Ovis aries: one gene and its partner. The protein of the gene in region 2 purifies or fractionates together with the protein of the main gene of each other region. This does not show direct contact. Links are inferred from orthologs where the notes say so. Each region holds a gene or a part of one and is shown on either strand. Other genes may lie near its edges.

Region 1 (4,127 bases), on a different chromosome or scaffold from region 2:
ACATATACTAGCATAGTAATATACCATGCAAGAAGGACCCAATGATAACACAATGCCTGAAGTTCAGGAATTAATAATCCTCTCCACCCTCTTTAAGAGGGCATGTGGCACCTGTTCAAGCACTAATAAGAGTAGAAGAGAATAGTTAGTAATAGAGCTAGATATTAAGAGATTAGAACACCTAGCTCTCCCCCAAGTTATAGAGCTGGTCCATTCATTAGACAATTTAAAAAACTCTTTATCACCTGTACTGTTTCCTCCTACCCAAAGAATTCTTAAGTTCCTCCCCCATACACACCTTAAAAATAGTGGCAAGCAGATAAACTGCCAATCACATAAAGGCATCTTCCTCAGACTCAAGGCTAAGATACAAAATGCAAGTCCAAATTCCAACACTCTCGGACCAGGGGCTCCATTCTGGGCAAGAGGAATGAGACAGAATTAAGAGCTCAACATCAGCAGGAACTTCATCTCTGGCTCAGACCCTGCGGGAGACAAAAACAGCCCTGCTCTTAGAGCGGTGAGACTCTCAGCCAGTGATTCTTTCAAGCCTGCTTTCTCATTTGAAAGATGAGTTATAATACGTGAGATAATTTGTGGGTGAAGCAGTGCCTAGTTTGGAGTAAGTCTCCACAGCCACAGGAACAACAGAACAGTCACTACTACATCCTCAGTGCCCAGGGTAATATCGAGCACACAGCAGGCACTCCAGATGTTTGCTGAATAAAGCAGAGGCCCAATTAAAGCCAGTCTGAGATTCAAACAAAATGTGTGGGCCCAACCTGTAAGTGAGCCCCTAACTTAGTCCAAACTAGGGGTCACATATTCTAAGGACGGCCCTGGTCATCAACAAAAGAAGAGTCTATTCATTTGCTTCTGGTCACAACCTCCAACAGAGACCCTGCCTCTGAAGAGCCTCAGCACACCAAAGTTCTACTTTTATTTCACCTCAAAAGACTACCACTTGCTGCCCTGGGGCTCCTCTGTCTTCTTCATCTTTAGAAACAACAGGCTCACAAAATGACATCTCAGGCACTTGACTTTAAGTCTCCTTCAAAGAGACTTGGTGACAATTCTCAGGCCCACGGCTGCACTCTGCCAAGACAAGCTTTCCTAGTTGAAAGATATCACCTATTAAGAAATGCAGCAAAGAGAAAGGAAAAGTCAAGTGAAAGACAATTCCACTATCTGCCTTTATGTTATTTCTGATTCTTAAAAATAAAAGATGGACCAAATTATTCTTAAATGGGTAGACAGGAAAGGCACCCAAAAAAAGGAGCTCAGCAATCCAAGGCATCCATCCCTAGAGCACTCGTTTGGCCAGAAGGAGACACTCTCTGGCTCTGCAAATGACAAGGGAAATCATACACAGAATGTAAATTTCATTTCTCCCCTGCCAAAGGGAAATTTGCAAAAATGGTTTTGCAAAAGGTTCGAAAATCTCTAAGGATAAGTTTAAACTTCTTTCTGAGCGAAGATCGAGGACATTCCTTCCCAAACCTTTGAGTTTTCAAGGATATTGGGAGAGGTAAAAAAAGCAGAGTGAGGGAGCGAGAGAGGGAGAGGATATGTTCGTTCTATTTTTAAACCCTCGCCCACAGTTTAGAGTAAAGGAACACTCTGATTCTGTACTCCCACCCCTATCACCTTCTGCTAAACACAAGAATCAGAACCTGCACACGTACGTGGCCCTGATTCTAGATCTGGTGGGTTAAAAGCTGCCACTATTCCAAAGAATCGCGAGCTGACCAACCACCCTACCCAGCCCTTTTCTGGGAAGGGAAGGAGATCTCTCGGAGACCCCGGCGGCCCTGAGCAGGCGGGAGTGAAGCAGGCACAACCCGCCTTTTCCTGAGGGGAGGCAGCGCCCCCTTGGCAGGGCACGCTCCATTCCCACGGCTGGGCACTCAGGGGTGAGCAACTCTCCCCCAAGGAAGCCGGAGTCGTGGACGCGAAGGGGTTTCCCAATATGCTACGGTGCTCCAGGCACTCCAGTCCCACTCCTGAGACACCTGTGTGACGCGCACACCCACCCGCGGCGCCCCAGAGCGCTACTCGCGCTCGGTCACCTCCCAGTCCCCTCGGAACGCAAACGGCCGGGTGACGGGTCTCTGCCTTCACTGTCTTGTTGCTAGCTCGCCCATTTTACGTATCCTTTCCGCTTCGCGACAAAGGTCTACGCCCGTCCCTCAGCGCCCGGGGGCAGAAATCCAGCCGGGCGCGGGACCCCTAGGTCTGAGCGCCGCCCGACGGCCCCTCCCGCCCCGGAGCACCGTCCCCGCCAGGCTCCCGGGCACTCACTCTTGAGCGCGCTGATGAGTGACTTCCCGTCCTTGATGAGCTCCTTGATGAATTTGTTGGTCTTGTCCAGCTCCGCTTCGTGCGACTTCAGCGTCTCTCGGAAGTGAGGGCTGTCGAGGCAGCAGTCACTGAATTCGAGCGCGGGCAGCCCCATGGTGTCCGCGGCGCCCAGCCGGGGGGCGCGCCTCCCCCAGGGCTCCGGCGGCCCGCAGCCCGGAGCACGCACGCGGCGAGACCCTGGCCGGCACCCCCGACGGCCGCCGGCTCCACAGGTGTGGCGCCGGCTCGGTCTCAGCGCGGTGTCCGCGGGCGCGCACGATTCCTGAACAGAGCCTGGAGGCGAACGAAGAGCGTCTGCTCCAACGGCGTGTAACCGAGAGGGCGCGGAGCAGGAAGAGCAGCTGAGGACCCGCAGCGGCGACGGGAAGGGAACGACCAGTCGAGCGAGTGCAGCAGCCGCCTGCCCGCCTCCCTCGCCAGTTCGCTCTCCTGCAGCTTCGAGCGCCCTCTCACAGCAGCCTCGGCCGCCCAGCCGGCGTCCGAGCCGGACGAACCTGCTAGCAATGACCTAATCCCAGCCAAGCCAATCAGAACCCCGTCTCAGCCCTACCCACGGGCCTTCCGAGGATGCCCGGCCCTTCCGCGACCATAACCCAATCAACGGGGTCCAGAGGCGGGGTCTAAGTCGGGGGCGTGGCCCACGCCACCGCCTAGGTCCGCAGCACAAGCTCCGCCCTCTCCCGTCTGCTCTGGGTTGCACAGTCGGAGCCGGGAAGGAACGAAGATTGCTGCCGAATGGGCCAGCGCAGCGGCCGGGATCCGAGCCGGAGACGGTGCGTCTGCATATCTGGGAAGCGGAGGAGCCTAGATGTGCCGAACATGAAAAATCTAGGAATTTAGGGCTGCAGTTCCCCTAAGGCTGAGGCAATCGTGCTTACACTCAAAATGCATTCCCCAGTCGGACACAACTGAAGCGACTTAGCACTCGCGCACGTCCCAGGAGAACCCCGAGCGTACCAAGCGACCACGTCGCCCCTAGACACAAGCTCCTTCTTCCACTCAAGCAAAACATACTTACATCTTAAAACTACCAGCTCTTCTGGCCTGCAGTCTTCCCGCCCCCTACAGTCCGGCCCCCTCAAGGCCACTCCTGCTCAAAACCCGCCCACGGCTGCCCCCAACCGAAAGATCTAACATCCTTTCAAGAATTTCAGCCGCCTGTTTTCCTGCTGGGCACCTCACACAATTTTACATAATTACGTCCACTGCCTGTAGTCCTTTGCAATAAATACTGTGAGCTTCAAGACTACGAAATGAGCCACCGCCGCTTTCTTGTGCGCTGCGGCATCCCTAACGCCTAGAACAGTGGCTGGCATCTAGTAACAGATACTGAGCGCTTCCCTTGTGCTATATGTGCAACGGCGATTGATAAGGATTTGTGGAATAAACGAATGGATCCGTTCCCGTGTCTTTCTCCACTTTCCACTTTCCTGTAATGTGTTGCCCTATTGCCCTTGGGTTCCACCACAGTAATCAATCCAGGCAGCTCACTAACTGCACCTGTCAGTCTGGATCCCACAGTGTCCAGTGCTGAACTATGAAGTGCTAGAGGAAAGGGACTGTCTTTGAATAAATTATTCGTATGTCTAGGAAGGAGGAGCCCTCCAGTTAGGTGGTTTTGTGTGTGTGTATGTGGCTTGTTTTTTGTTTGTTTGGTTGTCTTTGTTTTTGTTTTTACATAGGTCTGCTATGTGCAGGCACTAGACTAGATACTAAAGATGCGAAGATGAATAACACAGAATGAACCTGTCTGCTACTGGTTAGTG
Region 2 (3,500 bases):
CAGGGACAGGGGGCCCAGGGAAGGCTGGTGGGAAGAGGTGAGAGGGGGACCCACCGGGCCTGGGGCTCAGGGAAGACGTCCTCATGGATCTGCATCATGAGGTCACCGCCGGGTGCAAACTCGGTCACGAAGCAGGCGTGGCTGGAGGTCTGGAAGCAGGCGAGGAGGGGAAGCAGGAACGGGTGCCCTGTGCAGCCCACGGCCTCGAGGATTCGCTTCTCACAGTACAGGCTGCAAGAGGAGGGCGTGGGTTTTAGGCAAAGAGGGAACCCAAAAGGGAACTAAGACCTCCCCTGGCTGTGCCCTGCCACCCACACAACTCCCCTGGGCCACTGGCTCTTAAAACTGCCAGGCAGGTAGAGTGACGGTTCATATGTACCCGGGGCTGGCACAGGTCTCGAACTTGTACCCCCACCCTGTTCCCATTTCACAGATGAGGAACCTGAGGTGCACAGAGAGGAGACCTGCCCAAGGGCACACAGTTCACAACTGCAGTTGCTAATTAAAGAGCCCAGGCCTGGCTGGCCCCACAGGGTCACTTCTTCGAAGCCCCAGCAGCATTTAGCTGCCTTCTGGAGCCACCAGTGAGCCCCCCAGCCTCAACACACACCTCTCAATCTCGTCCCGGCTCAGCACCTCCTGCTTCTTCAGTGCTTTGACGGCATAGTATTGCCCCGTCCCCTTGAACTGGACCAAGAGGACCTGGGGACCAGAGAGAGGTTTGGGCTCCAGGAGGGCAGTAGAGGAGTCTGCTTCTCCTGCCCACTGCCCCCCAGAGCCCAGAGCCCTCTAGCAAATGTTCTGGGGCCTGCCCACTCCCTTAGCCCCTTACCTTCCCAAAGTGGCCTCGGCCCAGCACGGCCAAGCAGCGGAAGTCCTGAAGCCGGGGGGGTTTCCTGCAAGAGAGAGGGTACAGGAAGCCCCCAGGACAACGAAGGGCTGGGCCTCCACCAGGAGTCACTCCAAACCCCCTGTGTTCAATCCTGGGTGGTCCCCCTCTAGTGGGGAGCTGCAGAGCCCGGGGTGGGGCAGGGTTCCCAGGACTGCAGTTTCCTGGGGTCTGGCAGGCAGGCTGAGCTCAATAATGTGGGTTCAGCGAGTGAGAACCTGAGAGCAAGCCAAGGAGCCTGGGGTGAGATGTGAACATCTGACATGCAAATACCCAGATGAGTGGATAAAATGTCTCAAACACCGAGGTGAGCCTGCTGGGGTACCTGGTAGCCGGGGCTGGCAGAGGCAGCTCACGTCGAATCCTGGGCTCCATGTGGGGGCGTTTGGTGCGCTGCGAGGGGAGAGGATCTCAAGGCAGAGCAGGGCTTCCTTCCCTCGAGCCCTGCCACCCGACCTGGGCAGCACCCAGGGTGACCAATCCTGCCCTGCTGCCCCCTCACCGGCATCTCTTCGGGGGTTGGCTCCTGGGCCAGGTAGAGGCGAGGGGGCTTGGGTGGGGGTTGGATCTCTTCTCGCAAGGGGGTCTTCTTGGGTGGGAAGTTACTGTGGGGTAGAAGCAGACATATACCGGGCACAGACAGCTGGAACAGTGGCGGGCAGGGAGGGCAGGGGTAGACACACAGCCACGCGGGACAGAAAGACAGGTCAAAGGGTGAGCCATGGGGCAGGCACCATCTGAGTCTGGAGAGAGGTGACTCCGCAGAGAAGCAGGCAGCCTGGGGTGAGCGAGGCCCCTCACCTGGGCGAGTCAGGATCGGTGGCCCGCTGGGGTGTGGCTGGGGTCTGGGAGCATGTTTTCGGGGGGCTGATGGTGCTTGGGGAGCTGCAGGGGGGCAGCAGGCTCATGACCAGGCGCCCCCAAGCCGCCATGCTGAGGTTCATCTGGGAAGCCCTCAGGAAGTCCTGACCTGGGGCAAAAGCAGGCTCAGTCTCGAGGTCTCCGGAGGGGCCCAGCCCTGCTCCCTGCTCGCCAGCCTTCCATACCTCTGCGTTTTGAGAAAATGCGTTTCTGCCTCTGCAGTCGGGGCCTCCTCTCAATGACAGGGTCACAGAAGGTCACCTGTGGAGGCAGGGGGCAGGGCTGAAGACCAGTCCCCTCCCACCTGCCGACCTGTCCCGGGAACCTCCTCGGCCTCCAGGATCCCAGCCTAAGCCCGTTGTCAACAGATGCAAGAGCTACAGGGACTCAGAGAGAATGGATTCGGCATCCTCACTGGTACCAGGGGGAAACTGAGACCTGGAGAAAAAGGGACTTGTCCAGGGTCGTGCATGCGGTGGGGCGGTCAGGACAAGGAGAGGCCGTTCCTCTCCTGTGAAGTCCTCAGAGAGCGGCTGGGAATCTTTCATCCCTGGAGAGCTCTTCCCTCAGGGCCTCAATTTCCACTCCTAGCTGTAGGTTGGTTGGGGGGCACAGTCTCCAAGGCCTCTCTCGAGCTAACAGAGCCAAGGGCCCGTGAGGTCAGAGGGCAGGGGCCGGGAGGCACCTGGGCGAAAAGCAGTCCCTGTGGTACCAGGCTGAGGGACAGCTGGTGACAGGCATTGTCCAGGAAGTCCTCCAGCCTCAGGAAGGCCACACCGCACAGCTGCCTCCAGTCCCGCCAGTGGACCCCAATCTCCAGCTCCCGGGCCTACACAGGGAGGCCAAATTGAGTTAGGGGAGCCTGGCACCAGCTACTACCCATCCAGCTTTCCACCCCGCTGCCCACGATCACCCCAGTCCACACAAGGGCAGCCTCACCCGCTCCAGGGCAATAACAAAGGTCTGGTCCCAGGACTGCTTGGCCACAGGCCCCCAGCCTGTCTGGCCCACAACGCGATTGTCCACCTTCAGCACAGCCAGCACCTCACCTGCAAGGCCAGAGGTGGGGCTCAGGGCAGGCCAGCAGTGGTGGGGGGACCTTCACGCTCCCCAGCTCCCCGGGGCCCCTACTCACTAGCTAGCTCGCCTCCACCACGCTGCTGCTTGGCTCTGCTCCGAAGCCAGCCTTGGGAGGGGCTCCCAGCCAGCGCGGCCGCGGGGGAACGTCCAGGCACCGCTATCAGCAGCTGCTCACAGCCCAGGAGGCGGACCTGCAGCGTCCCTGTCGGGGAGTGTGGTGGAGGAGCCATCATCGGACACCATCCTCCAAGGGGTCGCTGGGACCCCAGGAATGCTGCCTTCTCATGGAGGTAGCAAACCCAGAGCCTGCTCGCCTTAGGCCTCGGCAGCCACCTGGGGGCCACCCTGGGGGCCGACCAACTGGTCCTCCCCCTCCTGCCAGCCCTCTACATGTGGGAAGAAGCAGGGACACAGAGGCAGAGAAGTCAGACTCAGATCTCAGTCCGCATGCTGCCCAGGGCTCTGGACCTAGGGAGCACCATGTCAGGGACGAAAGCCCCAGAGGAGCAGGGTGCCTGGCCAGCTACCTCTTCCCAGGGCCTGCTTCCCCGTCCATATAGTGGGAAGGAGTGCCAACTCAGCCCCACTTCCTGCCGTGGGTACCACTGTGTTTTGCCAACCAAGTGGGTTCATTTTGAGGATCAGTAGAGATTTGTCCCTCCAAGGGCAG

What was found.
Region 1: the proteins of PKN3 (region 2) and ARHGAP26 purify together in Homo sapiens (affinity purification with mass spectrometry; 3 studies listed by BioGRID and IntAct, with this or other methods). This does not show direct contact. The link is inferred for Ovis aries from reciprocal best matches to the Homo sapiens genes PKN3 and ARHGAP26.

The regions. Positions count from the first base shown.
Region 1 is NC_056058.1:51,459,780-51,463,906, reverse strand, and holds the start of ARHGAP26 (rho GTPase-activating protein 26), read right to left. Parts: upstream 2,801-4,127; 5' UTR 2,456-2,800; coding exon 2,302-2,455; intron 1-2,301. UniProt on the Homo sapiens protein: GTPase-activating protein for RHOA and CDC42. Facilitates mitochondrial quality control by promoting Parkin-mediated recruitment of autophagosomes to damaged mitochondria.
Region 2 is NC_056056.1:7,683,796-7,687,295, forward strand, and holds part of PKN3 (serine/threonine-protein kinase N3), read right to left. Parts: intron 3,033-3,500; coding exon 2,886-3,032; intron 2,800-2,885; coding exon 2,690-2,799; intron 2,580-2,689; coding exon 2,436-2,579; intron 2,012-2,435; coding exon 1,936-2,011; intron 1,860-1,935; coding exon 1,691-1,859; intron 1,495-1,690; coding exon 1,392-1,494; intron 1,283-1,391; coding exon 1,215-1,282; intron 897-1,214; coding exon 833-896; intron 703-832; coding exon 611-702; intron 232-610; coding exon 55-231; intron 1-54.